7 linked regions of the Oryctolagus cuniculus genome follow. The protein of the gene in region 1 purifies or fractionates together with the protein of each later gene. This does not show direct contact. Links are inferred from orthologs where the notes say so. Each region holds a gene or a part of one and is shown on either strand. Other genes may lie near its edges.

Region 1 (3,778 bases):
GGCTTAGTGAATGAGGAATGGGAACCTTAAAGAAAAGAAAAGTTGGGGTAGCTGTTGATTTAGCTGTTTGGAAGGCAGAGTGATAGGGAGGTATCTTCTATCTGCTGGTTCACTCCTTAAATGCCCGTAACAGCCAGGGTTGGACCAGGCCAGAACTTTGTCTAGGTCTCCCGTATGAATGACAGGGACCCAAGTCCTTGAGCCATCTTCTGTCACCTTAGATGCATCAGAAGCACAGAGAAGCCAGGACCCGAACCAGCACTCTGATACGGGGTACTGATGTCACAAGCATGACTTAAAGTACTGTGTCATGGGAACCCGGGGCTGTGGTGTAGTGGAAAAAGTAGCAGGTAAAGCCACTGCCTGCAGTGCAGCGTCCCATATGGGCGCTGGTTTGAGACCTGGTTGCTCTACTTCTGATCCAGCTCTCTGGTATGACCTGGGAAAGCAGAAGGTGGCCCAAATGCTTGAGCACCAGCACCCATGTGGGAAACCCGAAGCAGCGTCTGGCTCCTGGTTTCCTATCGGTCCAGCCCTGGCCGTTGCGGCCATTTGGCAAGTGAATCAACGGATGAATGATCTTCTCTCTCTGCCTCTGACTCTGCTTTTTGTAACTCTATTTTTTCAAATAATAAATCTTAAAAAAAAAAAAAAAAGGGCCCCAGGACAGAGGAAAGAAAAAAACTACTGTGTCACAACACTGTCCCCTTTGACTTTAATTTTGATTTACTGTTATTGCAAGCTTATTTTTTTTAATTCAAAGACTTATTTTTTATTTTCATTTTTTTTATTTGTTGAGAGACAAAGCTCTTACATCCGCTGGTTCTTTTCTCAAATGCTGGTAAAAGCCAGAGCTAGGCCAGGCCGAAAAAAAAAAAACAGGAAGTCTGGAACTCGAGTGGTGGGTGGCAGAAACCCAAGCTCTTGAGCCATCTACTCCCTCCCAGGGTGCACAATTAGCAGGAAACTGGATTGGAAGTGGAGCAGCCCAGACTTGAACCAGGCATTTCAGTACGGGATACGGCTAACCCACTGGGGACTTAACCACTGTGCCTAATGCCCTCTCTAGTATCTTATAATTTAATTCTACTCCTTATATAATTTTATAATTATACTGATTGTAAATTATTCATATGAGAAAAAGGTTTTTTCTGCCCCTTTAAGTTTATTGTCTTGATAGAGAAGGAATAGATTGAAATCTGGAATTTCTAAAAAATATCAATGTCATTATTATTTTTTAAGATTTATTTATTGGGGCCGGCGCCGCGGCTCACTAGGCTAATCCTCCGCCTTGTGGCGCCGCCACACCGGGTTCTAGTCCCGGTCGGGGCGCCGGATTCTGTCCCGGTTGCCTCTCTTCCAGGCCAGCTCTCTGCTGTGGCCAGGGAGTGCAGTGGAGGATGGCCCAAGTCCTTGGGCCCTGCACCCCATGGGAGACCAGGATAAGTACCTGGTTCCTGCCATCGGATCAGCGTGGTGCGCCAGCTGCGGCAGCCATTGGAGGGTGAACCAATGGCAAAAGGAAGACCTTTCTCTTTGTCTCTCTTTCTCACTGTCCACTCTGCCTCTCAAAAAAATAAAAAAAAATAAAGTGGCGCCATGCTCACTTAGTTAATCCTCCGCCTGTGGTGCCAGCATCCCATATGGGCGCCGGGTTCTAGTCCCCTCATCTTCCAGTCCAGCTCTGCTGTGGCCCAGGAGGGCAGTGGAAGATGGCCCAGGTGCTTGGGCCCCTGTACCCACATGGAGACCAGGAGGAAGCACCTGGCTCATGGCTTTGGATCGGCACAGCACTGGCTGTAGTGGCCATTTGGGGGGGTGAACCAACGGAAGGAAGACTTTTCTGTCTCTCTTTCTCACTGTCTACCTGTAAAAAAAAAAAAAAAAATTATTTATTTACTTGAGAAGCAGAATTACCAAGGAAGAGACAGCTGGTCTACTCCCCAAAGGACACAATGGCCAGAGCCAGGCCGATATGATACCAGGATCCAAGAGCTTCCTCCATGTCCCCCAGGTGGGTGCAGGGCCTAAGCACTTGGGCCAGCCTGCACTGCCAGGCTATCAGCAGGGAGATGTGAGGTGAGAATACTTGGGAATAGCCATGTCAGTTTTTATTTAAGCTACTGCTTGCAGTGCTGGCATTCCATATCAGTTTGAGTCCTGGCTACTCTGCTTCTGATTCAGGTCCCTACTAATGTGCCTGGGAAAGCAGCAGAAGATGGCCAAGTATTTGGGCCCCTGCCGCCCACGTAGGATGGAGTTCCAGGCTTTTGGGTTTGGCTTGGCCCAGCCTGGGCCATTGGGGTCATATGGGAAGTGAACTAGTGGATGGAAGCTCTCTTCTGTCTCTCTGACTCTGTCACTCTGCCTTTCAAATAAAATAAATAAATCTTTAAAAAAATCCTAAGATCATTATAATAAAATTAGGATTCATTCTGTAAGTCAACTGCTAGATTCATATTATTACCATTCTTCTTTAACGATCTTCTACCTCCACCTCCTGCAAATAGGGGCAGTTATGCTTTATAGTTCAAAAAGCAAATGCTTATGTTGGATTCTAATAACAAAGTTTTATTTCAGGTCTTTGTTGGTAAAATACCCAGAGATTTATACGAGGATGAATTGGTGCCTCTCTTTGAGAAGGCTGGTCCAATTTGGGATCTGCGTCTTATGATGGATCCACTGTCTGGGCAGAACAGAGGGTACGCATTTATCACCTTCTGTGGAAAGGAAGCTGCACAGGAAGCTGTGAAACTGGTATGTGATAAATAAACATCCATTGTTTAGCAAGCTATTATTTGAGAGAATAAACTCAATTAAGAATGTTTGCAGTTAGTGTTGTCTCATTTTCTTTAATTGTTCCTTTGAATGTTTTTATATTCTTAGTTGGTATATGGCCTTTGCTTTAGTTTTTATGACTCTAAAATAAATATATTTAAGAAATAATGTATTTTAGAAAGTCATGATTTTGAGAAGTTATCCATTAAGATTGATTAGTATCAAAAATTTTATTCAGATATTTGATTCCTTAAATTCTCTGTTGGTTTTTAGAAAGTTGTCAACTTTTGTTGTTAAACTTCAGGATGGGAGTCTTAAAATATGAAGGTTGGAATGGGTTCTGGAGAATAACAGTGGGTGATAGTGACTTTGGACTCAATTCAGAAAAAAATAATCTTTTCTTTTTGGCCCAGCCCAATTATACAGTTGGTGTATTTCCTAATTGTCTTCTTGCTCTTTTTGTTCCCAGACCATTGAGTCCTGTCTGACTTTACTCTCTCTCTCTCTGTATTTCACTGTTTTATAGCCAGTCTATTGGGTCTTCTTTGTCTTTAATATTTCTCTCCTTTTACTGCTTGATAGCCAATCTTCTAGTAATTTCCTCTCTAGGACTTTTTACAACTTTGGGCTTATATAAATAAAAGTAGTAGAAGTAGTAGGGAAAAGTTCTGTAAATTATGTCTTCATTTCTACTATATACCGAGATGTTGTTATCCGAGAATCTTAAAATAACATTTTTTTTTCATATTCTTGACAGACATCCATCCAAAGGCTCACTTAATGTAGTTCTAGCCCTTCTAGAATGGGTAATCTCCCTTACCAAGGCTTTTGGACTCAAGAGTGGGCCTTGAGTTAGTTTCTTCCTGTCTTGACCAAGATTTTAGTTCTTACTAGGCATTTTTGCCTCCAAACTTGTTCATTTAAAACTAAGAAATTTCCAAAACTTTATTTCTTCATTTTTGGCAAAATATAGGTAATTTTAATTTTTTAAGTAATACTA
Region 2 (4,385 bases), about 100 Mb from region 1:
CCGTGGAATTGAAGATATAGTGGATCTACATTTCATACACACAGATGCCACAGCTACCCAAGAGATGGGTGCACCTGAGCACCCGGACTCTCACACAAGCAGCTTTATCCATAGTGGGGGCTGGGGACCGAGACCCCAGGCCGGGCCCCGTGAGACCCCCAGCCACATAGCCCAGGTTCCTGTCTTCCCATGTGTGAGGATACAACTGGGAGAAGGAGACAGAGGTGAGCAGAGAAGCAGGATTTATCCAAGGATGAAAGGATAGCACACACCCAGGCTTGGGTCCTCCTTTTAGGGCGTGGGAATGGTGCTCAGGGCCTGATGGAAGATCCAAAGGAGGGATCCTACCAATCCTGGGATGATCCCGCCTCACAGCTTCACTTGCCAGATGCACAGTATTTGCATTTAAATCGATGCCATCACTTGGGCTTTTTGTAACCTTTCCACGCCTCAGCGTTGGTTAATGTTGTTAATGTCCCCTCTCGCTCACTGCAAGTTCCTTCACTCTGCTTTGCCCTGGCCGGGAAAGCAGCCGCTCTGGTTCCTCTGATCAGGGTGCATCGTATGTATTCTCTTTTCGTCTGGCTTCTTTCGCTTGACACGGTCCGGGTTCCTCCATGTTTTTGCACTCGTCAGCGATCTGCTCTTGTTAGATTTTCGTAGCACTCCGTTGTGTACACATAGACCAATTTGTCATCCACTCTCCATGAATTCAGTACGGCCAACTCGCCGAGACACGTGTAAATACCTCTAGGTTGTTTCCAGTTCGGGCCTCACTTTTCTGGGGACCACCACAAGGGGCTGCAGGCCCCCCCCCCCCCCCCCCCCCAGTGAGTGAGAGGGGACGCCGAGGAGGAACAAACGTTAAGGAAATGCAAATACCGTGTGTCCGTGTGGCCGGTGAGGGTGAGGCGGGATCATGCCAGGATTTGCAGGAGCAAAAAACAGGAACAGGAGAAGACGGGACCCGCCACTTTCTTGACTCTCCTTCTCTGATTTGTCATTCCAAGACTTTGTCAATTTTCCTTCTAACACCTCAAAGCTTGTTTCTCCACCACAGTCCATACACTCCTTCCCTTCTAGGGAAGGTACCTTTTACACGATGGCGGTAGAGGCAGAAGATGCGTTTCAAAAGCAGCAAAGATTGGCGAGATGGTTTTAAAGGAGGGAGTACTGTAGCAGCATGTGGAACTGAGAAGCGAAAAACAAAGCCCTTAGCAGAGGATGGTTTCGATCCATCGACCTCTGGGTTATGGGCCCAGCACGCTTCCGCTGCGCCACTCTGCTACTGGACACCAACCTTCCCGCTATTATAAAAGGCAATTCACTTGTTCGTCGTTTTTAAAGTCTATCCAGCGCCACCTAGTGTTGGCTCAAAAAATTTGTAATTACTGTCACGCCTGTTCTTATTGGCCGGTTCCTGGCACGATAGCCGTTTTTTATTGGTCCATAAGCCCGGTTCTCCAAAGCAAACCAATAAGCATAAGCGACAGAGCAAGGCGGGAGCCAATCGCAGCGCGTTTTGTTGGGACACGCCGGCCAGACGCCTTTCCAGTTGTCTGCTTCTCTGAGGAAAGGGGCGGTTGGTGCGGCCTCCATTGTTCGGTGTTAAGGGCGCCATGAGGTAGGGGGACCGAGGTGCTGGAAAGATTGTGGGTATCCGACCGAGAATGTTGGGAAGGTGGGTCGAGAGGAGTCGGAGGACCGGGCAGGGCCGCGCCTCTGCGGCCGGCCGGAACCCCGCGAACTCCGGGGCCGGCAGCGCGGGGAGCCCGGCGGGTGGAGGTGGGAGCGCGGGCCCGGCGTGGGCTGGGGCCGGGGCGGGGAGGCGGCGGGCGCCCGCCTCCGCGAGGGCGTCGTGCTCAGGCCGCCGGGGGAGCTTCCCCGCGTGCGGCGCTGGTCCTGACGGCCCGCGTGTGACGCCCGGCATGTGCCCGGCCGGGGCGCTGAGCGCCGGCTTTGGGGGCTGGCGTGCCCCCGGGTTATAGGGTCTTTCTCGCAGGGGCGCTGCGCGACGCTGTTACCTGGCGGATAAGTCGTCCGGCAGCAGGAGGTCACGAGCAGTGGGGGGCCGGGCGCCATTCGGGACGCGGGGTGGGAGGGGGCGGCGGCGGGCGGCCGGCGGGAAGCGAGGCCGGGCCGCGGCGGCTCCCAGGCAGTAACGTCTGTGCATTTCCAGGGGTGACAGAGGCCGTGGTCGCGGTGGGCGCTTCGGCTCCAGAGGCGGCCCGGGCGGAGGGTGAGTGCCAGTTTTCCTTGCTAGTTTGGGGCACCTAAGAGGAGGTTGGCGGGGTCTGAGGGTGTTTTTGTGCGAGCCGGCTGCGGGGTCACACCCTGCTTCTGCTGCGGGCCTTGCTCAGAAGCCCACTCGGCCCTCCGCAAGCTGTGCGTCTGTGTTTTCCAAATTGCTGGTGCATCGTGTACATCTTGCTTGATTGCTGTGTGCTGAATAATTTGAGCTGTTTGTCTTGTTGCAGGTTCAGGCCCTTTGTGCCGCATATCCCATTTGATTTCTATTTGGTAAGTGCTTTGGGTTGGTGAACGGGTCCTGACCCCTGGTCACCAGCAGATGGAGAAGTGGTGGAGGCCAACAGCCCCCTGACATGGTGGTCGCAGTAGGAGAAGGGATTTGGGAACGGCCTTGGGGTTGTGTGTTAGCATACTTGGCAATAACCTGATTATAATCTTTGAACAACTCATTGCATCTCTGGCTTATTTGTTAATATAAAGGTAGTAAGAACATAAATTATGGCTGTTCTTCTGGGTCCTTGTTGGAAGGTTTTTTCAAAAGATTTATTTATTTGAAAAGCACAGTGTCAGAGAAATAAATATCTTGCATCCACTGTTTCATTCATCAAATGGCCACGATAGCCAGGGCTGGGTCAGGCTGGAGCCAAGAGCCAGGAATTGCATCCTGGTCTCTCACATGGGTGACAAGGGCCCAGGAACTTGGGACATCATCCACTGCGTTCCCAAGATCATTAGCAGGCAGCTGGATTGGAAGTGGAGCAGCCGGGACTCTGTTATCAGAAGCCAGTGGCAGCTTAACCCACTGCACCGCAAGTGTTGCAGAATTTTCTGTGTTCAAGTTTTTCTGTTGCACTAATAGAGGAATAAAACCAGTCTCTCCTGTATGTTGTTGGTGGTCAATGGTTTATACTTGTTTGTTGGTGATTTAGTGTGAAATGGCTTTCCCCCGGGTCAAGCCGGCCCCTGATGAGACTTCCTTCAGTGAAGCTTTGCTGAAGAGGAATCAGGACCTTGCTCCCAATTCTGCCGAACAGGTGTGTGCTCGTGGCTCCCTTTCTGAGCTTTCTCCACAGAAGGGAAGTGGAGAGTAAGAATAGGTTCCCTGAGCCTGAGGCCCACCAAAGCTTGCATTCTTGTCTCACTGTGGTTGGAGATGGGGAGCGAGGTGAGCGTCTTAAACACATGGCATAGACATTTGTATTTTCACTGGGGAATCTGTCTGTGGCAAGTTCAAGACCAGAAGCACTGAGTTGTTTTTAGAACCTTCTGTTGATGGCTGGCAGCTTCCACAGAAGGGATCAGGAGAAAATATCCAAACTCAGAGCAATTGCTTACAACTTTTCATTTTGGGATTTTACTGTTTTTCAGGCTTCTATCCTTTCTCTGGTGACAAAAATAAACAATGTGATTGACAATTTGATTGTGGCTCCGGGGACATTTGAAGTGGTGAGTTTCTGATGACAGCCCCAGGAAAGGGCGGCCTTGGTGATGTGCAGATTTCCTTGGCTCCTGTCTCTTAGTTTTTCAGTTGCCTGAACCTGGACAGTACAGTGGGATTCCTTTCTTTGTTAATACTGATCCTGGGGATACGGTTTGTGTTGATACCAGCCGGCCATGACGGGCCAGGCTTTCATGTGGTTTCTTGGGGTAGGATTTTACCTTTGCTACTTCCAAGTCTGAGTAATAGGAAGCTGTTACCTATCACAGAGTTCTGAGAGCATCGAGGCATCTGAAATTTTTTTTCCTGAAATCTCTTTCCCAACAGCAAATTGAAGAAGTCCGGCAGGTAGGATCTTACAAAAAGGGAACAATGACTACAGGACACAATGTGGCTGACCTGGTGGTGATACTCAAGATCCTGCCGACGTGTGAGTGTCTGTCTTGTGACAGTGGGAACGGAATGTGGCAGGTTCTATGGCTTGAGGCCTAGGCTCTTTAAAGCTCAGCTTTCTTGTGAGAAAAGATTCTTTTTACAACATGACAAAGGAGAAACTGGAGTGAGTGAAAGAATGTATGGCCGGTTCTATAAGGCAGTATTTCTCAACTGGAGGCAGCCTGGGGAGGGGAGGCAAAAGAATGAGCCCATCCAGAATGTTATCTTTGCCCCCGATCTGAAAACCCAGTCCATAAAATAG
Region 3 (4,456 bases), on another chromosome or scaffold:
GGCGCCGGCACACCGGGTTCTAGTCCCGCTTGGGGCACCAGATTTTGTCCCGGTTGCCCCTCTTCCAGGCCAGCTCTCTGCTGTGGCCCGGGAGTGCAGTGGAGGATGGCCCAAGTCTTTGGGCCCTGCACCCCATGGGAGACCAGGAGAAGCACCTGGCTCCTGCCATCGGATCAGCATGGTGCGCCAGCCGCGGCGGCCATTGGAGGGTGAACCAACGGCAAAGGAAGACCTTTCTCTCTGTCTCTCTCACTGTCCACTCTGCCTGTCAAAAAAAAAAAAAAAAAAGAGAGAGACAGAGACAGAGACAGAGATCTTCCGTCTGCTGGTTCGCTTCCCAAATGTCTGCGATTGGGCCAGGCTGAAGCCAGGAGCCAGGACCCCACCCAGGCCTCCCACACAGGCCGTCTTCCTCTGCTCGGGCCCCTGGCCAGGGAGCTGGCGGGAAACGCAGCAGCTGGGACGCCAGCCTCGCCGGTGGGGCTGCCCGGTGTCCCAGCGCCAGCCCCTGACCCCTGCAAGGATTTCAGAAACGACGCCCACGCAGGTCCCGGCGACCGCACCTCACTCAATGCGCCCCAGGACTTGTGAGCCAGCCCTGGCTGTCGTGGGCGTCTCGGGGGTGAACCAGCAAGACCGCTCTGCGTCCCTCTCCTTCCCAATAAGTAAAAATTGTGCCAAAAAAGTGAAGTTAGTAATCTGGGTATCATGAACGAGGCAACGGAGCTCCCCCTAAAGGCATCAAGCACAGTGCGGTCCACTCTCCACCACCACGGGCTGTGCACCCGAAACATTCCAGAAAGCAAACAGCGCGTCTGTACTGAACACGCAGACTTTTCTTCATGCCCTAAATGATAAAGGATAATTTTGGCGCAGGCTTCACATTGTGTTAGGCATCGTTAAGTGAGCAGCGGGCCATTTCACACTCACGGGCAGAATTCGGTCCTGGGACCAAGTGCCCATGCAGGACACCCAGGAAATGCCCGTCCCAGCTCAGGCCCTGGGCACCTGCCGTTAGCCGCGCCCCGATCGCCCTGGGCGCCTCTGTCCCCCTCGCTGTCCCCTCCCGCCCCCCACCCTGCTCTTGTCCTTGAGATGGCCACTACCTGAAGTTGTATTTTTCATCTAAATACCTTTACACTCTCCCTCAGTACAAAGTAAGGAACCAAAAATCAGGTTTTCACACCTCCAGCGCCTAAACAGCGATTGCTGGACGCCCACTAGCCGGACGATCAACGCAACCAACACTATTCCCGTAGGGACTCTTTGCCAGGTGGCGGAAGGGTATTACCCGTTCTCTAGTCAATGCGCATGCGCCAAAGATCCGGGAAGTGTGCTAGGTAAGGGGGCGGGGCTTCGGGATGAGCCTCGCGGGCAAAGGCGGTTGGAGTCCAGGCGCGAGGTGGAAAGCGGCGCTTGGGGACGAGCGCGCGTGCGTAGTACGGCCGCAGCCAGCCGCGGCACGCAGTTGAAGGCGCCGGGAGGCGGGGCAAGGGCCTCGCGCGTGCGCCGTGCCCGCGGCGGCCCCGGTGTCTGTAGGTCGGTTGCGCGCGGCTGGCGCTGCGCGTGCGCAGGGCGACGGCGGAGGGATTTGAGGCCGGGCTCCACCTCCTGCTCCCGTTGCGAGCCGAAGCCGCGCGGGCTCGCGAGCAGAGGCCTGCTGCGCGCGCGGGGGGCGGGCGACCGAGTCCGACGGCGCCGGAGTCGAAGCCGGAGCAGGAGTGCTTGTTGCTGAAGGGCCGCCGCAGCCGCCGCGAGCCCCCGGACCGACGCCAGGCCGAGGAGGGCACCGCGCGGCGGGTGAGTGGGACCCAGTGGTCTTGAGGGGGTGCGGGGCCGCTACCCACAAGCCCCTGCGGTGGGCCGGGGTCCCCTCCCTGACGGCCGCGTCCCCCCTGCAGCACCGTTCCGCGGCCCTCGCCTAGAATTTCCCGGACACTCGGCGCTCTCCCCAAAACACGCCCCCGCCCGCCGCCGTCCCCTTCCCACAGGCCCTTGCGCGTTTGTTGCCCTTTCCCCGCCCCCTCCCTCGCTTCTCGGGGCGCCCTGGACCATTACCCACAATGCCTCTCGCCGCCGGGAGCCCAGACCTGCTACCCACAAGCCCCTGCGTGGTGGGGGCGGGGAGCGGGGTGCGCGCCGACTTCCGGCTACCCAGCGCCTGCGACCCCCGCCCCGGGCGCCTCCCTCGGCCGCAGCCCCGACTGCCCGCTCGCCCGCGCTTCGGCCTTTGTTCCCCCGGCGGCGGCGGCGGCGGCGGCGCGCTCCCCGGGCGAGGCAGCCGCCACAAGGCCTTGACCCTCTCTCCCCAGACCTGGCAAGATGACCCAGTTCCTGCCGCCCAACCTCCTGGCCCTCTTCGCTCCCCGGGACCCCATCCCCTACCTGCCGCCCCTGGAAAAGCTGCCGCACGAGAAGCACCACAACCAGCCCTACTGCGGCATCGCGCCCTACATCCGGGAGTTCGAGGTGAGCCAGGCCGGCTTCGCGGCTGTGGACACTTCCAGGCCTCGGGGGGCCTGGCAGGGCAGCCCCTGGAAGGCGCTGGGGAGGACGCGGCGGGAGGGGTCGGCCGCGGACGCCGGGTGCTTCTCTGCTGTGTGGTCTTGGGCGGTACAGAATCCCCACGATGCATTCGCTGTCTTTGACAGCAGGACGGAGAATAAATAGCATTTACGGCAGAGCGCTTGGTACCAAGCAGTCGATACGTGTCAGCATTTGTGACTGTATTTGCCATGTTTTTAAAACATTTATTTTTCTTTATTTGAAAGATGGAGTTAGAGAGAGAGGGGTCTTCCATCCACTTGTTCACTCCCCAGATGGCCGCAACAGCCATAACTGAGCTGATCCGAAGCCGGGAGCTTCCCTGACTCCCACACGGGTGCAGGGGCCCAAGGACCTGGGTCGTCTTATACTGCGTTCCCAGGCCGTGGCAGAGAGCTGGATCAGAAGTGGAGCAGCGGAGAGTCGAATTGGCAGCCCCTATGGGATGCTGGCGCTGCAGGCTGGGGTGTTAACCCACCGTGCCACAGCACCGGCCCCTGTATTTGCCGTTCTTGTTAACGGAGTGTCGTTCCTGAAGAATTGGCACTGTGTGGGTGGCGTAATTAAGACCGTAGCCTGGGGCTCTCAGATCTGCACTGTGGGTCACCGTTGGTGCAGCTTAGGCTCCGGGATCTCAGTGTTTTCATTTGTAAGGTCGGGTGATGACCCCGCCTCAGGGCGGTCCGTGTCACAGGCCGCTCCAGTGCTGTAGGGAGAGGCTGCGATGGAGGCTCCAGAGCCGAGGTGACACAAGGTGGCTCTTACTGGATTGGCCACTCCCAGTGAACTCGTGCTTGGGAAGTGTTATTAGCCAATTAAATTAATTTAATGGGCACAGGCCAGCAACTCTGTCTGGTGATCGCTGCCTACGGAGTGGCTGCGAGGGCTCAGAGAGCTGCCTGGCCCTCAGGACGTGCCCAGGTGTCAGCTCCTGCTGCTGCTCTCCTGAGCAAGCGCCCCCGCCCCCACTCTGCTTTGTCACGTCCTCAGACACGTCGTCGTCGGTGCAAGACAGGGACCTGTGAGACTATCTTAAAGGAATTAGTATTTATTTAATTGAAAGGCAGAGTTACAGAGGAGGAGGGGAGAGACAGAAAGGTCTTGCGTCCACTGGTTCACTCCCCACATGGCCGCAGTGGCTGGAGCTGTGCTGGTCTGAAGCCAGAAGTCAGGAGTTTCTTCTGGGTCTCCTGTGAAGGTGCAGAGGTCCACGCACTTGGACCATCGTCTGCTGCTTTCCCAGGCCTTAGCTGGACCAGAAGTGAAGCAGCCGGGACTCAAACCAGTGCCTGTGTGGGATGCAGCGCTGTAGAGAGGTTTCATCTTCCACGCTGCTGCAACAGCCCAAGATTGAAAATTTCAATAAATGTAGTGAGATTATTTTGAATGAGAAGGAGAGAGGGAGAGACAGGTCTTCTGTCCACTGGCTCACTCCACAGATGGCTGCAGAAGCTATGGCTGGGCCAGGCCAAAACTAGAAACCAGGAACTCTGTCCAGGTCTCCCACGTGGATGACAGAGACCAAGCACTCAGACCATCGTCTGCTGCTTTCCCAGGCGCATTAGGGAGGTGGATTGTAAGTGGAGCAGCTGGATTCCAGCCGGCACTCTGATAGAGGATGCTGGCGCCACAGGTGGCAGCTTCACTGTGCCATGTGTCAGCTCTTGGGGTTTTCAAAAGAAACACCTGGGGCTGGCGCCGTGGTTCACTTGGTTAATCCTCTGCCTGCAGCACCGGCATCCCATATGTGCACCGGGTTCTAGTCCCGGCTGCCCCTCTTCCAGTCCAGCTCTCTGCTGTGGCCAGGGAGTGCAGTGGAGGATGGCCCAAGTGGTTGGCCCCTGCACCCCATGGGAGACCAGGAGAAGCACCTGGCTCCTGGATTTGGATCGGCGTAGCTCCAGCCGGAGCA
Region 4 (4,205 bases), on another chromosome or scaffold:
CAGCAACATAGCCAAAGGCCAAGTGAATTTCTGACACTATTTGGACGCTTCTACTTCCGGGCTGTCCTAGTCCCCTCTGTTAATTTGAGGATTACCAGTACTGCACACTATTAATCTCAACTCAAATAATCTCACGGATGTCAGTATTTCACCTTATGCCTGAATACAGGGTAAGACACATTTCTTAAAAACTGTTGAAAAGCAGCTTTTAAAAACGAACATTTGTGGATCAGTTACATCACCTCAGCCTACGGGACAAGATTTGCATTTCTGTACTTCCACATTTCAAATCAATAGCACAGCAGTCTTTTTGTGCAGCAGGTCTCTTTCCTCATTCCCACGGGGATCGCTGGCCTGGCACTGTGGGGACGCTGGGGGATTAGGATGCTACCCCGGATTGCCACTCTCAAACTTCAACCACGATCCAATCACGGATTTCTTTTTGAGAGCGAGGTCTCTCATGGCCCGTCTGCCAGACTGTCGCCCTGTTCCATCTCAGGAGCCTTTGGTTTGGGCACCATTGGGTCCCCGCGGGGACAGGGAGAAAATCCACGGGTGGCAGGTCCTAGCTGCGCTTCGCCCTCCTCACCGCACGCCCGGGCCTGAATGACAAACATCAGGCCCCACAGAGGCCTCTGCAAGGCCACTGACGCCATGCGTGTGGCTGCCGCGAAGAGCGCGCTTTGCGGATGCAGACCGGAGGAGGGGAGAAGCCGCTTTCCCAGGCCCCGCACCGGGGGCTGCCGAAGACACAAAAGAAAGGCTTCCCGAATTTAAAAGGCCATTCGCCAGGCCGGCTTAGAAAAATGAAAGGAGATACGAGGCCGGAGGTGGGGGGGGAGAGGGGGGGAAGAAGGGACGAACCAACTCTCCGTGTGCTGACTGCCAGGCTGGGTTAGACAAGCCAGAGCGGAAATAAAATCCCGAGGCGTTTTAAAACGGTATAGCAGGAGGGGCACCCAGGACGGCAATACTAAGATGGAAGAAAAGGTGGAGGGGTTCGAGCTGAAAACGCCAAGCTGAGCTCTGCTAGCATTTCAAGCCGAGCAGCCGCCCAGGCTGGGAGGCCAAGAGCAGAACGAGCTCCCTCGGCAGAAACCCAGTGGACTTTGCAGCGGGCCGGTTAAACCGAAAGGCGGTTTCCTTCTCCTCCATTTGCTCGGCACCCAATAGGAAGCGCACTGCGCGGCCTGTGCCGCGCTCCCGACCCGGGCCTCGGCGTGGGGGCGGGGAGGCAGGGACGGTGCTGGGCGGGGCCGAGCGCGAGCGCGCTCCCGCCTTCCTGCTGCGCGGCGCGCCCGTCAGCGCGGGGGGCGGGGCGGCTATATTACGTGCGCGGCGCCGCCCCTGCGAGAGGACGTTGCGTGCTCGCTCGCGCCAGGCGAGTCTCCGCGTCTCCCTCGCGAACTCGGTGAAAGGAATTGGCGCCGTTCGACACCAGGCGGGTCCTCTCTGCAGCACGAACCCACCTCCAGCCGCAGCCGCCGCCCGGACCGAGGAGCAGCCGCAGCAGCCGCTACCAGTGGCCGAGTGAGCGGAGCCCAGTCCGAGCCAAGCTCCCTGCCGCGAATCGGGGCCCTCATCATGAGTTCCTCGCCTGTTAATGTAAAAAAGCTGAAGGTGTCTGAGCTGAAAGAGGAGCTCAAGAAGCGGCGCCTCTCCGACAAGGGCCTCAAGGCCGAGCTCATGGAGCGACTCCAGGCTGCGCTGGACGACGAGGAGGCCGGGGGCCGCCCCGCCATGGAGCCCGGGAACGGCAGCCTAGACCTGGGCGGGGATTCCGCCGGGCGCTCGGGAGCAGGCCTCGAGCAGGAGGCCGCGGCCGGCGGCGACGACGACGAGGAGGAGGAGGAAGAGGAGGAGGAAGGGATCGCCGCCCTGGATGGCGACCAGATGGAGCTAGGAGAGGAGAACGGGGCCGCGGGGGCGGCCGAGTCGGGCCCGATGGAGGAGGAGGAGGCCGCCTCGGAAGACGAGAACGGCGATGATCAGGGCTTCCAGGAAGGGGAGGACGAGCTCGGCGACGAGGAGGAGGGCGCGGGCGACGAGAACGGGCACGGGGAGCAGCAGCCTCAACCGCCGGCGGCGCCGCAGCAACAGCCTCCGCAGCAGCGCGGGGCGGCCAAGGAGGCCGCGGGGAAGAGCAGCGGCCCCACCTCGCTGTTCGCGGTGACGGTGGCGCCGCCCGGGGCGAGGCAGGGCCAGCAGCAGGCGGGAGGTAAGAAGAAGGCGGAAGGCGGCGGAGGAGGCGGTCGCCCCGGGGCTCCGGCGGCGGGTGAGTGCTGCGTTGTACGTTGCGCGCGGCGGGAGGCCCGCGTGGGGTGGGGACCGGGCCCCCGGCCTGCCGGAGCCCCCCGCTGGTGGCTGGGTGGGCGGCGGTGGGGGGAGGGAGGGGTGCGGGGAATCCCAGATTAGCCGAGAGGCCTGGGGCTCGGGGTGTGTGTGTGCGTGTGCGTGTGTGACGGCGGTGGCAGCGCCTCCATTATGTGGCTCGGGAGCCGGGGCGGGGGTGGGGGCGGGGGAGCTGCAGCTGCCGCGGGAGGGGGGGAGGAGCCCCGTCGGCCCGCGGTGGCGCCGCCGCGCTGTGTGTGCGCGCGGTGCGGGCACATGGCTCAGGGCGGGGGGAGGGGAGAGGCCCGAGGTCCCGGGGCGGGCGCGCTTTGGCGGCTCCTCGCCGCGGTATTGTGCAAGGAGCGCAGGGGCTCGGCGTGACGTCACTTCCGGCGGGAGGAGCCGGCGCGCCGAGCGGGGCGGAAGATCCGTACAATGCGGCCGCGGGCTGCGCGGGCCCGGGTGGGGGAGGGGCCGCCGCCCCCGCGCCCCTCCCCCTCCTGACCGCTCGTCGGGATCCACGTGGGCTCGGGGCCTCCGGCGCGCAGTTGCGCTTAAGCTTTCTTGAAGCCTCCGGTAGACGGGCCGAATTAGTAACGTCTTTAGGCTGCGTCACTAACTCCAATCCAATTCCAAGCTGATAGTTTGAATTCACATTCGACCTGGCGGTTCAGTATTCACCCAAAACTCATTAATTCGATGCTTTTAGGCAACTTGAAATAAAAGCGGCTTTTTTTTCTTTTGGCGGGGGTGTTGGGTGGCTTGAGCACTTATGAGAGTGTCGTGTGTTATAGGAGACGGCAAAACAGAGCAGAAAGGCGGAGATAAAAAGCGAGGTGTAAAAAGACCTCGAGAAGATCATGGCCGTGGATATTTTGAGTACATTGAAGAGAACAAGTACAGCAGGTAGAGGATGCTAACGGATTGTGCGTTGTTGTTGCCCGTTCTCCGTGGGTGGGCAGAGACGTATCAGGAGCCCATTCTGTCTTTCAGAGCCAAATCTCCTCAGCCCCCCGTTGAAGAAGAAGATGAGCACTTCGATGACACAGTGGTTTGTCTTGATACTTGTAAGTGAAGCTGTTTCACCCGCTCCCCCACGCAGTCCTCAAATGCCTTGGGTTTTTTTGACAATGTTAGATTGCAGTACGTTTAACCTAAGTGCAGAAAACATGTACAGTTTTCTAAAAAGCAAAGATAATGATTGATACCCAGAGTGCAGTAGTTTAATATTAATATGCCATCAGTTGTGTTGAATTGATTTTACAGGCTTTGGCAATTTTAATTGTAATTTAAAGCTTCTTATTCTTGAATGTGAAATTGATGCCAATTTTGGACTAGTTAGCTAATGGAAACTGTTAACGTGTCCTACAGTAATTTCCTTTTATTTTGGGATTGTTAAGTCAGCTACTTGGGCTGGTTAAATACTTAACTGATGACTTTTCCCATTAGCACTCAAGTATATTCCCTATTCTAAAAGACTGTAATACTATTTCAATAACTGCTCTTTTGTTCTCAATTCCAGTTCAGTAGCTGCTGCTTTAACATAAGTTGATTTCTTCCAAAGACCTGGGGCAGCAGCAGTGGGCCATCACTGGGCCACTAGCTTTCTTCAGCAGCGAATGGTATCAATGGCAGCACTGTAAATACTACGTTACCCAGTTGGGTTGCAATCGAGTATGCGGAATTATTGCAAACCTTTAAATGGGCCGTGGCTGTCAGATTTTACTTAAATTACGTTGGGTTAGCGTTTGATCAGAATAGGATGCACCAGTCTTTCCAGTGTGAAATAGAACCAAGAGTAGAAATCGTACTTGAAAAGTTAAAATGTCAAGTTGCTCTGGTAAGGCGGAAGTTAGATTCGGATGCTTCCTTGT
Region 5 (2,528 bases), on another chromosome or scaffold:
AAAAAAGCCAGAGTATCTTAATAGTGTCTCTGCTGTTTGTCCTCCTGTAGTATTTGCTGCCTGCCATCGTCCACATCAATCATCAGCCATTCTTAGAGAGAGGTGATGGACCTATTGTAAGTATATATTTTTTCAACTAGAAACATAACAGAATACATAGCAAACGATGTAACGATTTATGTAAAGATTAGTATTCTCACTGAACGTAGCTGGGGCTGCTCTGGGTATCTGATGGCACAGTTGGAGAAAGGATCTGCCAGTGCAGCTAACTTAGCAATCTGGGGTCTGTGCTAAAAGCTGTTCCTCTTGCTTTAGTGCTTGGTGCTGGCACCAACTCGGGAACTGGCTCAGCAAGTGCAGCAAGTAGCTGCTGAATACTGTAGAGCTTGTCGCTTGAAGTCTACTTGCATCTATGGTGGTGCTCCCAAGGGACCACAGATCCGCGACTTGGAGAGAGGTAGGAAAGGAAAAGGTGGTTTGTCAACTAACCAGTGCTAAATGTTATGTGTTAACGTTTATGCATTTAATTTGAAGGTGTGGAAATCTGTATTGCAACACCTGGAAGACTGATTGACTTTTTAGAGTGTGGAAAAACCAATCTGAGAAGAACAACTTACCTGGTCCTTGATGAAGCAGATAGAATGCTTGATATGGGCTTTGAACCCCAAATAAGGAAGATTGTGGATCAGATAAGAGTAAGTACCCTTAATGTCACTTTTCACAAGTCTAAATTTACTTTTGGAGTACAGTGTAATCCTTTCTCTGTCTTAGCCTGATAGGCAAACCCTAATGTGGAGTGCTACATGGCCAAAAGAAGTAAGACAGCTTGCTGAAGATTTTCTGAAAGACTACATTCATATAAACATTGGAGCACTGGAATTGAGTGCAAACCACAACATTCTTCAGATAGTGGATGTATGTCATGATGTAGAAAAGGATGAAAAGTAAGTATTATATACATTTAATGGCTTTGTGTGGTTGAGTAGCTTTCATGGGTTATGTCAAAATTGACTTTCAATTGATGTAATCTGAATAGGTTCATGTAAAATTAAGTCCGCCAATCCATCTTGAGATTTCATGTCCTTCTGTAATTGGTTGTTCCATTTATGGCATTCTTACAGGAAGATGAAAGTCATGTGTCTTGTGGTTTACTTAAGGACCCAGGGTAGGATTGTCAGATGGTCCTACAGGTGTTTCCTCTTTGACTTGGAGCCATGCAAAATTGAACTTAATGTTTCACTGAATGTAAATGTGCAGCCCCAACTGTGGACTTGTTTTAAGACTCAGGCGTTTGTTTTGTCTAGACTTATTCGTCTAATGGAAGAGATCATGAGTGAGAAGGAAAATAAAACCATTGTTTTTGTTGAAACCAAAAGAAGATGTGATGAGCTTACCAGAAAAATGAGGAGAGATGGGTATGTGGGATTCTCCATGTATAGTCCTTTAGGAAAGGGCAAACAAACTTGAGCCAAGAGGATGGTTGTGGGTTTCATAGATAAGGCTAATCTGATAGTTTGGGTAAAGCTGTCAGTGAAATTGAGGCTTGGCAAAAATGGTTAAGCATGAGAATCTGATTTGAAGCATGAGCCTACTAGGATAAATCTTCTATTTTAGGTGGCCTGCCATGGGTATCCATGGTGACAAGAGTCAACAGGAGCGTGACTGGGTTCTAAATGGTAAGTATTTCAAAAGGAGAAAATTTTTTTTCTTAAGATAGGCTTCAGAGTAATGATCGTATATTTGCCTTCCTTTGTAGAATTCAAACATGGAAAAGCTCCTATTCTGATTGCTACAGATGTGGCCTCCAGAGGGCTAGGTTAGTACAAACTCGCATTCATGGCTTGGTTTCCCAGAAGATCTCCATATAGTTTTTCTAAAGAAAGTTTATTGCTTTCTTTAACCTCTGCATTTTTTCTAAGTTTTTTTCACATAAAGGTGCAGTCTTTGTGGCAAGGCCTAGGCATGACAATCGGAGGACTCGAGGGGGATGGAGGACTAGTGATCGGCTGGCTGCTTCCAGTCGATTAGAGAGGTGAAAAACTGAAAGTGTGCCAGTAATCTTCAAAGGGCAGAACATATCACCTCTGCCCCATAAACTGTTCTCTCCGGGGGAAAACAATGGAAGTACCCTCACAGTTCACTGCCGTGGTTTCTTCCGTCCCATGCTTTGCATGACTGCCATGGTACAGCATTGTTTGAAACTGTTCACTGTGATCTGTGGGTCTTTGAGTTTCAGTGAGTTTGCTGAAATGTCGAAGAAATAGTTCCAAACTTCAATGTTCAATGAAATTTTTGTTCAAGTTTGAAATGGAGAGAGCAGCTTTAAAAGGTACTAAGCCTTTTACAAATTGGTGAGTACTGGCACATAAGACCTAGAGCAGGAGCAACTTCTCACACTTAGAATCAGTGGGAAAAGAAAACAGTGCTTTGAAAGTTCCTCCCTCACCTTGTGACACAGTAGTCGTCATGTCGAGACCTGCCAGAGAGAGACACATTCTCAAGTGAATCCTGGCTTCTTGGAAGCGCTT
Region 6 (3,778 bases), on another chromosome or scaffold:
TATTTATATTAAATAAATTGTAAATCATTTAAATCAGCCTAAGTTATCCTGTGGTTCTAAAGTGTTCCTCCTAAGTGTTCAGTTGTAAAGTGTAAGAGATTTATTCCTGCTCTTTTCTTTTGAAATCAACAGCCAGCTGTGAAGAGCATGGCCCCCAGGAGAAGGTTAATGCCACAGGACCACAGTTTGTGAGTGGAGTGATTGTGAAGATCCTTAGCACAGAGCCCCTGCCTGGCAGGAAACAAGTCCGGGTAATGCTTTTGAACCCCTGGAGTATTTGTCCTCTTCTCCTCTTGCTTCCCCATGTGAAAATGGGTTGAATATAAGAAATAAATGAAATTACAGTTTGTATTTTTATGGTGAACTACCTTTAGAATTTTGACTCTGTGGTAACTCTTGAGTTTAACCTGAAGCAAAATCTAAACTCAAATTGCTCTCTGAATCGAATTTATACTGAACAGCCAAACATCCTTCTGTACAGGAAATTTGCAACTTGTGCATATTTTTACTGGTACTCCTGTTGTCTGCTGTGAGATTGAATAAGAAAATAGCCTATGGTCATTCTAGATACAGGAAATGCTTTCCCAATACTTACTTTTTAGAATACTTTATTTGTTAAATATGGATTTTAGAAAAATATTTGGCACCAAAACATTTTTAAAGATTTAATCAACATTAGAGCTGGTCTGAAATCATTTTTAATGTAATCATTTCATGCTGTCTCATTTGGGAGCATATTAAGAGAACTTTTAAATTTGCTTTTCTTGATATTCATACTTTTTAATAGATTTCCAAATGATTAATATGTATATTTTTAATATACGATGGACCTGGTTTTGTCTGTTAATGAAGCCTTTGTCCTGAAAGAATACAGAAACTTTTCTAGAAAATGGGCTTGTAATTTTTTTTTTCAGTATTTTCAATCCGTGGTGATTGTTTGAAGTTTTTCAAAGAGTTATAGGTATTTTTGAAAAGCTATTTTACATTTATGTGCAACTAAATCCATAGTTCTATGTTATTAATACTCAAATTGTCATACATACAGGTCTATCATATTTTTTCACTTTGTGCAGTTTTTCTTCTATAGCATTTTATACCAACATAGCAATACTTCTTTCTTATCAATGAAATCATATTCCTTTGTGTGAGATTACCATATTTTACTCACAAGTAACCCTGTCACCTATTTAGGTGAGGCACTTATTTTTTAAATTTATGAAATGTTTTATAACATTAACAAATATTTCTTAATCCTTTTATACTGATACTCAGCACCATGTAATGTGTTGTTTTTGTTTTACATGGACCACACCAGTCACATTTTTTAGTAACCACTGAGGTTGGTTGTTGTTCACTGTGATCTTGTCTAGGCACTCTTTATCTGAAACCCTACCCTAATATCCTGCAGCCATCACTAAGACATAAATTTTTTACCCTCTTTCCAATATTGATAAGTTATTTAGCCAATCCCAAATTGTCATTGGGCAGCTTGCTTTCAGAGTAGGGTGGTAACATGAATTCTGCTGTGATTAAATTGCAAATGATTTAACACAAACATTACTCAAAGCTTGTTATTTGGAATCAATTGACATTATCTGAATGGTAATTAATAATTACACATTCTTCATTTATGATCCTCAGAATCATAAAATAACTGTGTTAATCAAGTTAGTAGTTACTTACTTTTCGTGGAACAAAACCTGAGCTACGATGGTGATTACTGCTGTCTGTGACTTGCCAGTGTGATTTCCAGGCTAATTTATCATTCTAAGGGTTTTAAATTCTAAGGGTTTTAAATCAGGAGATTAGCCTGACATTATAATGGATATTTAGTAAATATCTTCTAATCTGTCAGAAAAAAAATAGTTATAAAACTCACTACAACCAGAGAACACGTTCAGGTTTCACCAATTAAATGCCACTTTTCTTGCTCTGTTTCTAAATTTAGGACTAATTTACTTGATAACAAAATGGGAAGAATTGGCAAGTATATTTCCAGTTTTTTTTTTTTAATCATTAAGCAAATATTTACTAAGTGCTTGTTTTGGGATAGATGGTAAACTAAGTATTGGGATGAATTAAGCTCATCTGTGGCTTCTAGAGACTCACGGAATTTTATTACTAACTAATAAACTTTTCTTAGTCTATGATGAAATAGTATTTCCAGATATTGCTCAGTTCTTTCCATAATACAGTCATCTAAGAATTCAGCAACTAAGAATAATCTAAATTAGCTGTTTCTTGAAAATTTGTGTCAAAAATAAAGTGAGATAAGACTTTTTTTTACAGTAGACAATCTCCTTATTTCTTTAGTTTTATGAATGGAAGCTTTATGGTAAATTACGAATTAGCAGCATAACATTCCTGCATAAATGCTTTGTGTTCTCTGTGGAACCTGCTGTGAAAAAAAAAGTTGATTAAGAATGCAGGAATCTTGTTAATTTGCCCTCACAGCAGGCATTATATGTAAGACTTTTCCCTTGTTGGGTAACCACTACTTGTTTAAAAGAAGTTATTTAGGTATTTTAACAAAAACCTTTGTTGAGCTGTACTCTGGTAGATCCACTGCAGAACCCAGGGTGTTTTTTAGGTTTAATAAAGAAACCTTTTTCCATGAGTTGTTCTAAAAACTTTAAACATTTTTACACATGATTTCAGTATTAAGTGATTTTATACAGGTAAGTGAAAACAAAAATTCTCTAAATCTTTTTTTTTTCCTTTTGTTTCCTTTTACTAATAACCCTGGACTTGAACCCTCTCCTGTGATAGTGGGGGAGACTGTTTGTACTTTCTGCTCTACAGATGTGTTGCCCTTGTTGAATAATATTCCCATTGTAGTTCATAGTTTCAAAATAATGTTGTAAAGATACAAAGGAAAATAAATTTTGATTAGAGTTGTTGTTAATTGGTCATCTTCTCTGTCCATATCTGTCAAAACATTAGTGTATATTTTAGGTATGATTTATATCAGGCATTTATTCCTCATTACTCTGTATAATGACATATAATCTGATATAACCACTGGAATAATTTGAAAGTTATTATGAAGCATTTTTATTACTAGTTTTAATACTTTCTGCAAAACTTCAATGCAGGATACTTTGGCTGCAGTCTCGGAAGTTGTTTATGTTGATTTGCTAGAAGGAGATACAGAATGCCATGCTAGATTTAAAACTCCTGAGGATGCTCAAGCAGTAATGAATGCACACACAGAAATCAAGAAGAAACACTGCTGGAAATTGGAAGTCCTTTCTGGTAAAACTTCATAGAAATTTATTTTTATAACAATTCTGAATTGTGAATGATTGTATCATATTTTCTGAGTTTGAGAATATAATGCTTTAAATGTGTTTTTTCCTTAAGTATCCTATATTCAAACATCAGAGTTTTTGTTCATTTCTAAGGTGATCATGAACAGAGATATTGGCAGAAGATTTTGGTAGACAGACAGGCCAAACTTAATCAACCTCGAGAGAAGAAGAGAGGCACTGAGAAGGTAATCAATTCATATTGGTTTTGGAGGTTAAATAGATTCTGAAAGTCAGTAGTGAGTAGATAACTTTAGTTTTGCTTCTACATAACAGAAACCTACAGAGTACCCTGTTTTAGGTTGAAAAAGAATAGTCTTTATCTTGGCTACAAAATGTATGAAATTAAAATTTATTTTCCCACAGGGATACATACTTTTAATTAGAGCTTCCCATTTTTTCCTTTTTTGAAAAACTGATAAAATTTAAATTTACAAGGTCTTCATTTCTGGCTGCTCTGCTTTGTTTGA
Region 7 (4,177 bases), on another chromosome or scaffold:
TGTGATGTGAGTGAGTTAGCATCTTGGCAGGGTTTAGTGTGTGGAACTCCTTGGGACCGCAGGCACTTAGTTGATACATCCAAGACCGTTGACCGTTGGCAGTGGCCTGGATGCATGCACAAAGGCCTGTGAGGCTAGAGAGTACACCTCTAGTTGCCACTAGGAAAAATTCAACTTCTAATGCGGTGAACTGGGTTGCTTTGTAAAACTTCTGGATTATTCAACTGAATGCCTTGTCCAGAGAATGAAAATGCAGATGTGCAGCCACCTGAGTTTGGGAGGAAGCAGGCAGATAATAAAAGCTTTAATTCTGAACACTGAGCAGAATTGGGTACTCTCAGTCACCTTCTCAAGTAACACACAAAGGCCATCTTTCTGTTCCCTAGGAAGCAATTTTGGAGGCAGCGGAGGCTACAATGATTTTGGCAATTACAACAATCAATCTTCAAATTTTGGACCCATGAAGGGAGGAAATTTTGGAGGCAGAAGCTCTGGCCCCTATGGTGGTGGCGGCCAATATTTTGCCAAACCACGAAATCAAGGTATGGTATGAATGTAACTGGGAGATGAGCAAGTAAAAGGGAAAGGAGTTGGTTTGTTGGGTGCATAGCTGATGGTGCTGCCCTTGTCAGGTTTCGCTAAGGCTGTTAAATAGTCACTCCTAAGTTTGAACTTGTCTCATCCCATTGAACATGAAAGCAGGGCTTTTGCCGTGGGCACTTGAGAGGTTAAAAGGCCCAATCTTGTTCTAGGTGGCTATGGTGGTTCTAGCAGCAGCAGCAGCTATGGCAGTGGCAGAAGGTTTTAATAACTGCCAGGTAAGTAAACACCTTTTTTTGTGTGTGCTTTTTTTTTTAAGTTTTTATAATCGCTGCTAAACCCTAATGTAGCTAAGCAGTGTGGCATAGTTAACATTATAATATTGCAGTAAAATTGTGGGTATTAAGTTCAGATAATATTGATAATTCAGATGAGCAAAATTTGTGGGAAACAACTTAATATTGGATTGTAGCCTTGAGTCTTAATATGTTTAGATTAACAACTTTATTCCATATTGTTCAACAGGAAACAAAGCTTAGCAGGAGAGGAGAGCCAGAGAAGTGACAGGGAAGCTACAGGTTACAACAGATTTGTGAACTCAGCCAAGCACAGTGGTGGCAGGGCCTAGCTGCTACAAAGAAGACATGTTTTAGACAATACTCATGTGTATGGGCAAAAAAACTCGAGGACTGTATTTGTGACTAATTGTATAACAGGTTATTTTAGTTTCTGTTCTGTGGAAAGTGTAAAGCATTCCAACAAAGGGTTTTAATGTAGTTTTTTCTTTTTTTTTCTTTTGCACCCATGCTGTTGATTGCTAAATGTAATAGTCTGATCATGACGCTGAATAAATGTGTCTTTTTTTTAAATGTGCTGTGTAAAGTTAGTCTACTCTGAAGCCATCTTGGTAAACTTCCCCAAAAAGTGTAAAGTCAGAATTCATCAGGGTGATGCCAGGTTCCATTTGAGATTTATTTACAAAATGCTCGGGTGGAGAAGCTGTTCTCAGATACATGAGTTACTGTTGTGACCTTCTGAAGTTCACCATTAAAAGCCACCCAAGCAAAGTCATGGGGTTATTTGGTTATAAGAATGATTGTTGGCACATCCTTTGCAATATATCTAAATTGAATAATGGTACCAGATAAAATTACAGATGGGAATGAAGCTGTGTATCATCCATTATCATGTGTAATCAATAAACGATTTAATTCTCTTGAATGGAATGACAACTGTATGGATTTGGGACTGGCAGAGATTTGGACTTTTCCCTACCCTCCACCCCTGATAATGTTGAATCCTACCACAATGCAAGTTCAAAACTCTGCCAGAGAATAGAAGCCAGCTGCTGGCTAATGCTTCCACTCCATTAAGTCCACAAAGATTTAGAAGTGTTTTAAGAGACATTTCTTAAAAAATACCGGTACCAGTAAGACTTGAATTCAATATAAACAGGTTTTTATTAAAGGAAAACTGCAGTTCTGCTGGGTCATGGGTCGGTGTGTGGGTGGGTCGGTCTGTGGAAATGTATGTTGATTACACTGGTTGGGGGGATTAAAACCATGAAGTGGGAGGAACAAATGTTTCTGTATAATTTCATATTAACTGCAGTTTTCCTTTAAACATGACACAAGACCACACAATCATCTGAAAGTGTTAATTGTATATATAGATAATGATTTCTAAACCTTTCATAGTTCATGGATACCCAATAATTGTTATTTGTAAATAGGTTCTTTGAAGCCTACCCTCTTTAATTTCAGTGCCATTGTATCTAGTAGTATAGATCATTGTTTACTAGTAGGACTGTATATGCCATCCCAGGGGTGTGTTGGAACATTGGGGAGGAGGGTGGGAGGGAGGTGGGTGGAAGGTGGTGGGGGGTGGGTGAGCGTGGACGGTAGTTCATGATACTGGCTGAGTTTGCAATAGCAGGTGGAACCTTTAACTGTTGAGGGAGTTTGCAGATACATCAGGATTCGTGACAATGCCTTTAAAGATCCAGGAGAGATGTTCAGCTACTAGGAACTGCTAGCAAGCATAGCGCGAATGGCTCCGAGCTCAGACTCTACAGCTGAGAGTAGACACTTGTGGTATGTGGAGCACAGATAAGCCAGGGGCAGGCCACGGCACCCTCCATGAAAGCTAGGAGGAAGTGAAGTTTGAGTGACCATCGCCAGAAAGGAGGCAGACGAGAGTAAGGCACACCTGACTCTTAGGACTAGCAGTCAGAACCAGGAGGAAAGGTTTTATTGCTATGCTGGTAGGTAAGAACAGATTTTACTTACATCCATAAAGTTAACCTAAAATCCAGTATTCTGTTAAATTTTCCTTAATATATTGAGCCAAAACTAGTCCAGTTAAGCTGAACTTGGTTTTTCTGGAGAAATTGACACCCTATTGGTGGCTCCTAATTGAAGAAAGTAATTAATTCTGTGATAATCTATTTTTGCCCTTTAATTTTATTTGCTGTCCTTTTACCCATTTCCTTGAAATAATGGCTCAAATTAATATATTGGAATCTTCCCAAAATGGGGGGAGGGCTGGGTGGGTGGACCATTAGTGGGTGGGGGTGGTTTAGCTTGATGGGACTCTGTCTTCGAAAAGAGCCAGTTCTAAAGGCTGTTTACTTTTCTAGGGAAGAATCTGCTACACGCTTATCAGCTCTTATTAAAAAAATAATTATAATTAAACCCAGAAACTCCTGTCCATGGCTAGAAAGGTAAGTTTCTATAAAATAATGGCCAGCCAAGAGTTCTCCATATTTCCAAAGTCAAAGGGAGAATTACCAACACCCAAGCACAAGGTCCAATTGTCCATAACCAAAGCAGCCAGATTCCCAGTGGTGGCAGTTAGCTGATGACAGAGCCCTGTCCTAATGCGTTAACGACTTCACCCCTCTCTTTCCTTTGCAGGAACATCCTTGTGAGGACAACCTTTGAGCCACTCCATTTCTCACTGCTATGCAGTTGATACTAGCTGTTTTGCAGCTCTAATTATTCATTCCATTTTGTGAATGAGCTTTATGAATAATAAATCATTTTATAAATACTTGGTCTGCTTCATGTTATTTTCCCATTTTAAATTAGGGATTCAAAAATGTAGGATATCAGTGATAAACTGGTCTTGGTAAGACATTGAGGCAGAGAAAGATCTTCCATATTCTGGTTTGCTCTCCAGATTACAACAGCCAGAGCTGTAAAAATCCAAAGCCTGGAGCCTCTTGGATCCCCCATGCAGGTGCAGGGGCCCAAGGACTTGGCCATCTTCCACTGCTTTCCCAGACCATAGCAGAGAACTGGATTAGAAGTGGAGCCACTGGGACTTGGACCACAACGATGTGGGATGCCAGCACCACAGACTGGGGCTTTAACTTGCTGTGTGGTGGCACCAGCCACAGGCAGTTGCCTTGACTCCATGTCTCAGATCAACTGACTGCCTTTCCCTTCTGGGGGCAGAACAAGCTGCCCAACATGGCAGCTTTTAAATGGGGGTTGGTTCCTGACTGAGACGGTGTGCTGCATTGACACTGCCGCATTCAGGATCATGGTTTAGAGCCAGTGGGCACTCGGACAGCAAGCCAGTGTCAGGCTGCTCCAACAGCCATGTCTCCACTCCTGGCTTGGGAAGCCAGCCG

What was found.
Region 2: the proteins of HNRNPR (region 1) and ILF2 purify together in Homo sapiens (affinity purification with mass spectrometry; 3 studies listed by BioGRID and IntAct, counting the BioPlex papers as one, with this or other methods). This does not show direct contact. The link is inferred for Oryctolagus cuniculus from reciprocal best matches to the Homo sapiens genes HNRNPR and ILF2.
Region 3: the proteins of HNRNPR (region 1) and SNRNP70 purify together in Homo sapiens (affinity purification with mass spectrometry; 3 studies listed by BioGRID and IntAct, with this or other methods). This does not show direct contact. The link is inferred for Oryctolagus cuniculus from reciprocal best matches to the Homo sapiens genes HNRNPR and SNRNP70.
Region 4: the proteins of HNRNPR (region 1) and HNRNPU purify together in Homo sapiens (affinity purification with mass spectrometry; 3 studies listed by BioGRID and IntAct, with this or other methods). This does not show direct contact. The link is inferred for Oryctolagus cuniculus from reciprocal best matches to the Homo sapiens genes HNRNPR and HNRNPU.
Region 5: the proteins of HNRNPR (region 1) and DDX5 fractionate together in Homo sapiens (co-fractionation; 3 studies listed by BioGRID and IntAct, with this or other methods). This does not show direct contact. The link is inferred for Oryctolagus cuniculus from reciprocal best matches to the Homo sapiens genes HNRNPR and DDX5.
Region 6: the proteins of HNRNPR (region 1) and LARP7 purify together in Homo sapiens (affinity purification with mass spectrometry; 4 studies listed by BioGRID and IntAct, with this or other methods). This does not show direct contact. The link is inferred for Oryctolagus cuniculus from reciprocal best matches to the Homo sapiens genes HNRNPR and LARP7.
Region 7: the proteins of HNRNPR (region 1) and HNRNPA1 purify together in Homo sapiens (affinity purification with mass spectrometry; 7 studies listed by BioGRID and IntAct, counting the BioPlex papers as one, with this or other methods). This does not show direct contact. The link is inferred for Oryctolagus cuniculus from reciprocal best matches to the Homo sapiens genes HNRNPR and HNRNPA1.

The regions. Positions count from the first base shown.
Region 1 is NC_091438.1:147,595,688-147,599,465, forward strand, and holds part of HNRNPR (heterogeneous nuclear ribonucleoprotein R), read left to right. Parts: intron 1-2,580; coding exon 2,581-2,757; intron 2,758-3,778. UniProt on the Homo sapiens protein: Component of ribonucleosomes, which are complexes of at least 20 other different heterogeneous nuclear ribonucleoproteins (hnRNP). hnRNP play an important role in processing of precursor mRNA in the nucleus.
Region 2 is NC_091438.1:44,650,670-44,655,054, forward strand, and holds the start of ILF2 (interleukin enhancer-binding factor 2), read left to right. Parts: upstream 1-1,552; 5' UTR 1,553-1,619; coding exon 1,620-1,624; exon of another isoform or gene 1,625-1,670; coding exon of another isoform or gene 1,671-1,681; intron 1,682-2,002; coding exon 2,003-2,053; intron 2,054-2,179; coding exon 2,180-2,239; intron 2,240-2,477; coding exon 2,478-2,520; intron 2,521-3,179; coding exon 3,180-3,284; intron 3,285-3,618; coding exon 3,619-3,696; intron 3,697-4,015; coding exon 4,016-4,118; intron 4,119-4,385. UniProt on the Homo sapiens protein: Chromatin-interacting protein that forms a stable heterodimer with interleukin enhancer-binding factor 3/ILF3 and plays a role in several biological processes including transcription, innate immunity or cell growth.
Region 3 is NC_091449.1:8,223,343-8,227,798, reverse strand, and holds the start of SNRNP70 (U1 small nuclear ribonucleoprotein 70 kDa), read left to right. Parts: upstream 1-1,533; 5' UTR 1,534-1,800; intron 1,801-2,312; 5' UTR 2,313-2,322; coding exon 2,323-2,469; intron 2,470-4,456. UniProt on the Homo sapiens protein: Component of the spliceosomal U1 snRNP, which is essential for recognition of the pre-mRNA 5' splice-site and the subsequent assembly of the spliceosome. SNRNP70 binds to the loop I region of U1-snRNA.
Region 4 is NC_091444.1:64,895,651-64,899,855, reverse strand, and holds the start of HNRNPU (heterogeneous nuclear ribonucleoprotein U), read left to right. Parts: upstream 1-1,320; 5' UTR 1,321-1,584; coding exon 1,585-2,275; intron 2,276-3,125; coding exon 3,126-3,237; intron 3,238-3,324; coding exon 3,325-3,398; intron 3,399-4,205. UniProt on the Homo sapiens protein: DNA- and RNA-binding protein involved in several cellular processes such as nuclear chromatin organization, telomere-length regulation, transcription, mRNA alternative splicing and stability, Xist-mediated transcriptional silencing and mitotic cell progression.
Region 5 is NC_091448.1:14,229,949-14,232,476, forward strand, and holds part of DDX5 (probable ATP-dependent RNA helicase DDX5), read left to right. Parts: intron 1-50; coding exon 51-116; intron 117-315; coding exon 316-457; intron 458-534; coding exon 535-695; intron 696-771; coding exon 772-944; intron 945-1,304; coding exon 1,305-1,415; intron 1,416-1,614; coding exon 1,615-1,676; intron 1,677-1,756; coding exon 1,757-1,816; intron 1,817-2,528. UniProt on the Homo sapiens protein: Involved in the alternative regulation of pre-mRNA splicing; its RNA helicase activity is necessary for increasing tau exon 10 inclusion and occurs in a RBM4-dependent manner. Binds to the tau pre-mRNA in the stem-loop region downstream of exon 10.
Region 6 is NC_091439.1:52,302,144-52,305,921, reverse strand, and holds part of LARP7 (la-related protein 7), read left to right. Parts: intron 1-132; coding exon 133-251; intron 252-3,095; coding exon 3,096-3,255; intron 3,256-3,404; coding exon 3,405-3,496; intron 3,497-3,778. UniProt on the Homo sapiens protein: RNA-binding protein that specifically binds distinct small nuclear RNA (snRNAs) and regulates their processing and function.
Region 7 is NC_091442.1:57,220,038-57,224,214, forward strand, and holds the end of HNRNPA1 (heterogeneous nuclear ribonucleoprotein A1), read left to right. Parts: intron 1-386; coding exon 387-542; intron 543-752; coding exon 753-808; 3' UTR 809-818; intron 819-1,065; exon of another isoform or gene 1,066-1,761; intron 1,762-3,178; 3' UTR 3,179-3,591; downstream 3,592-4,177. UniProt on the Homo sapiens protein: Involved in the packaging of pre-mRNA into hnRNP particles, transport of poly(A) mRNA from the nucleus to the cytoplasm and modulation of splice site selection.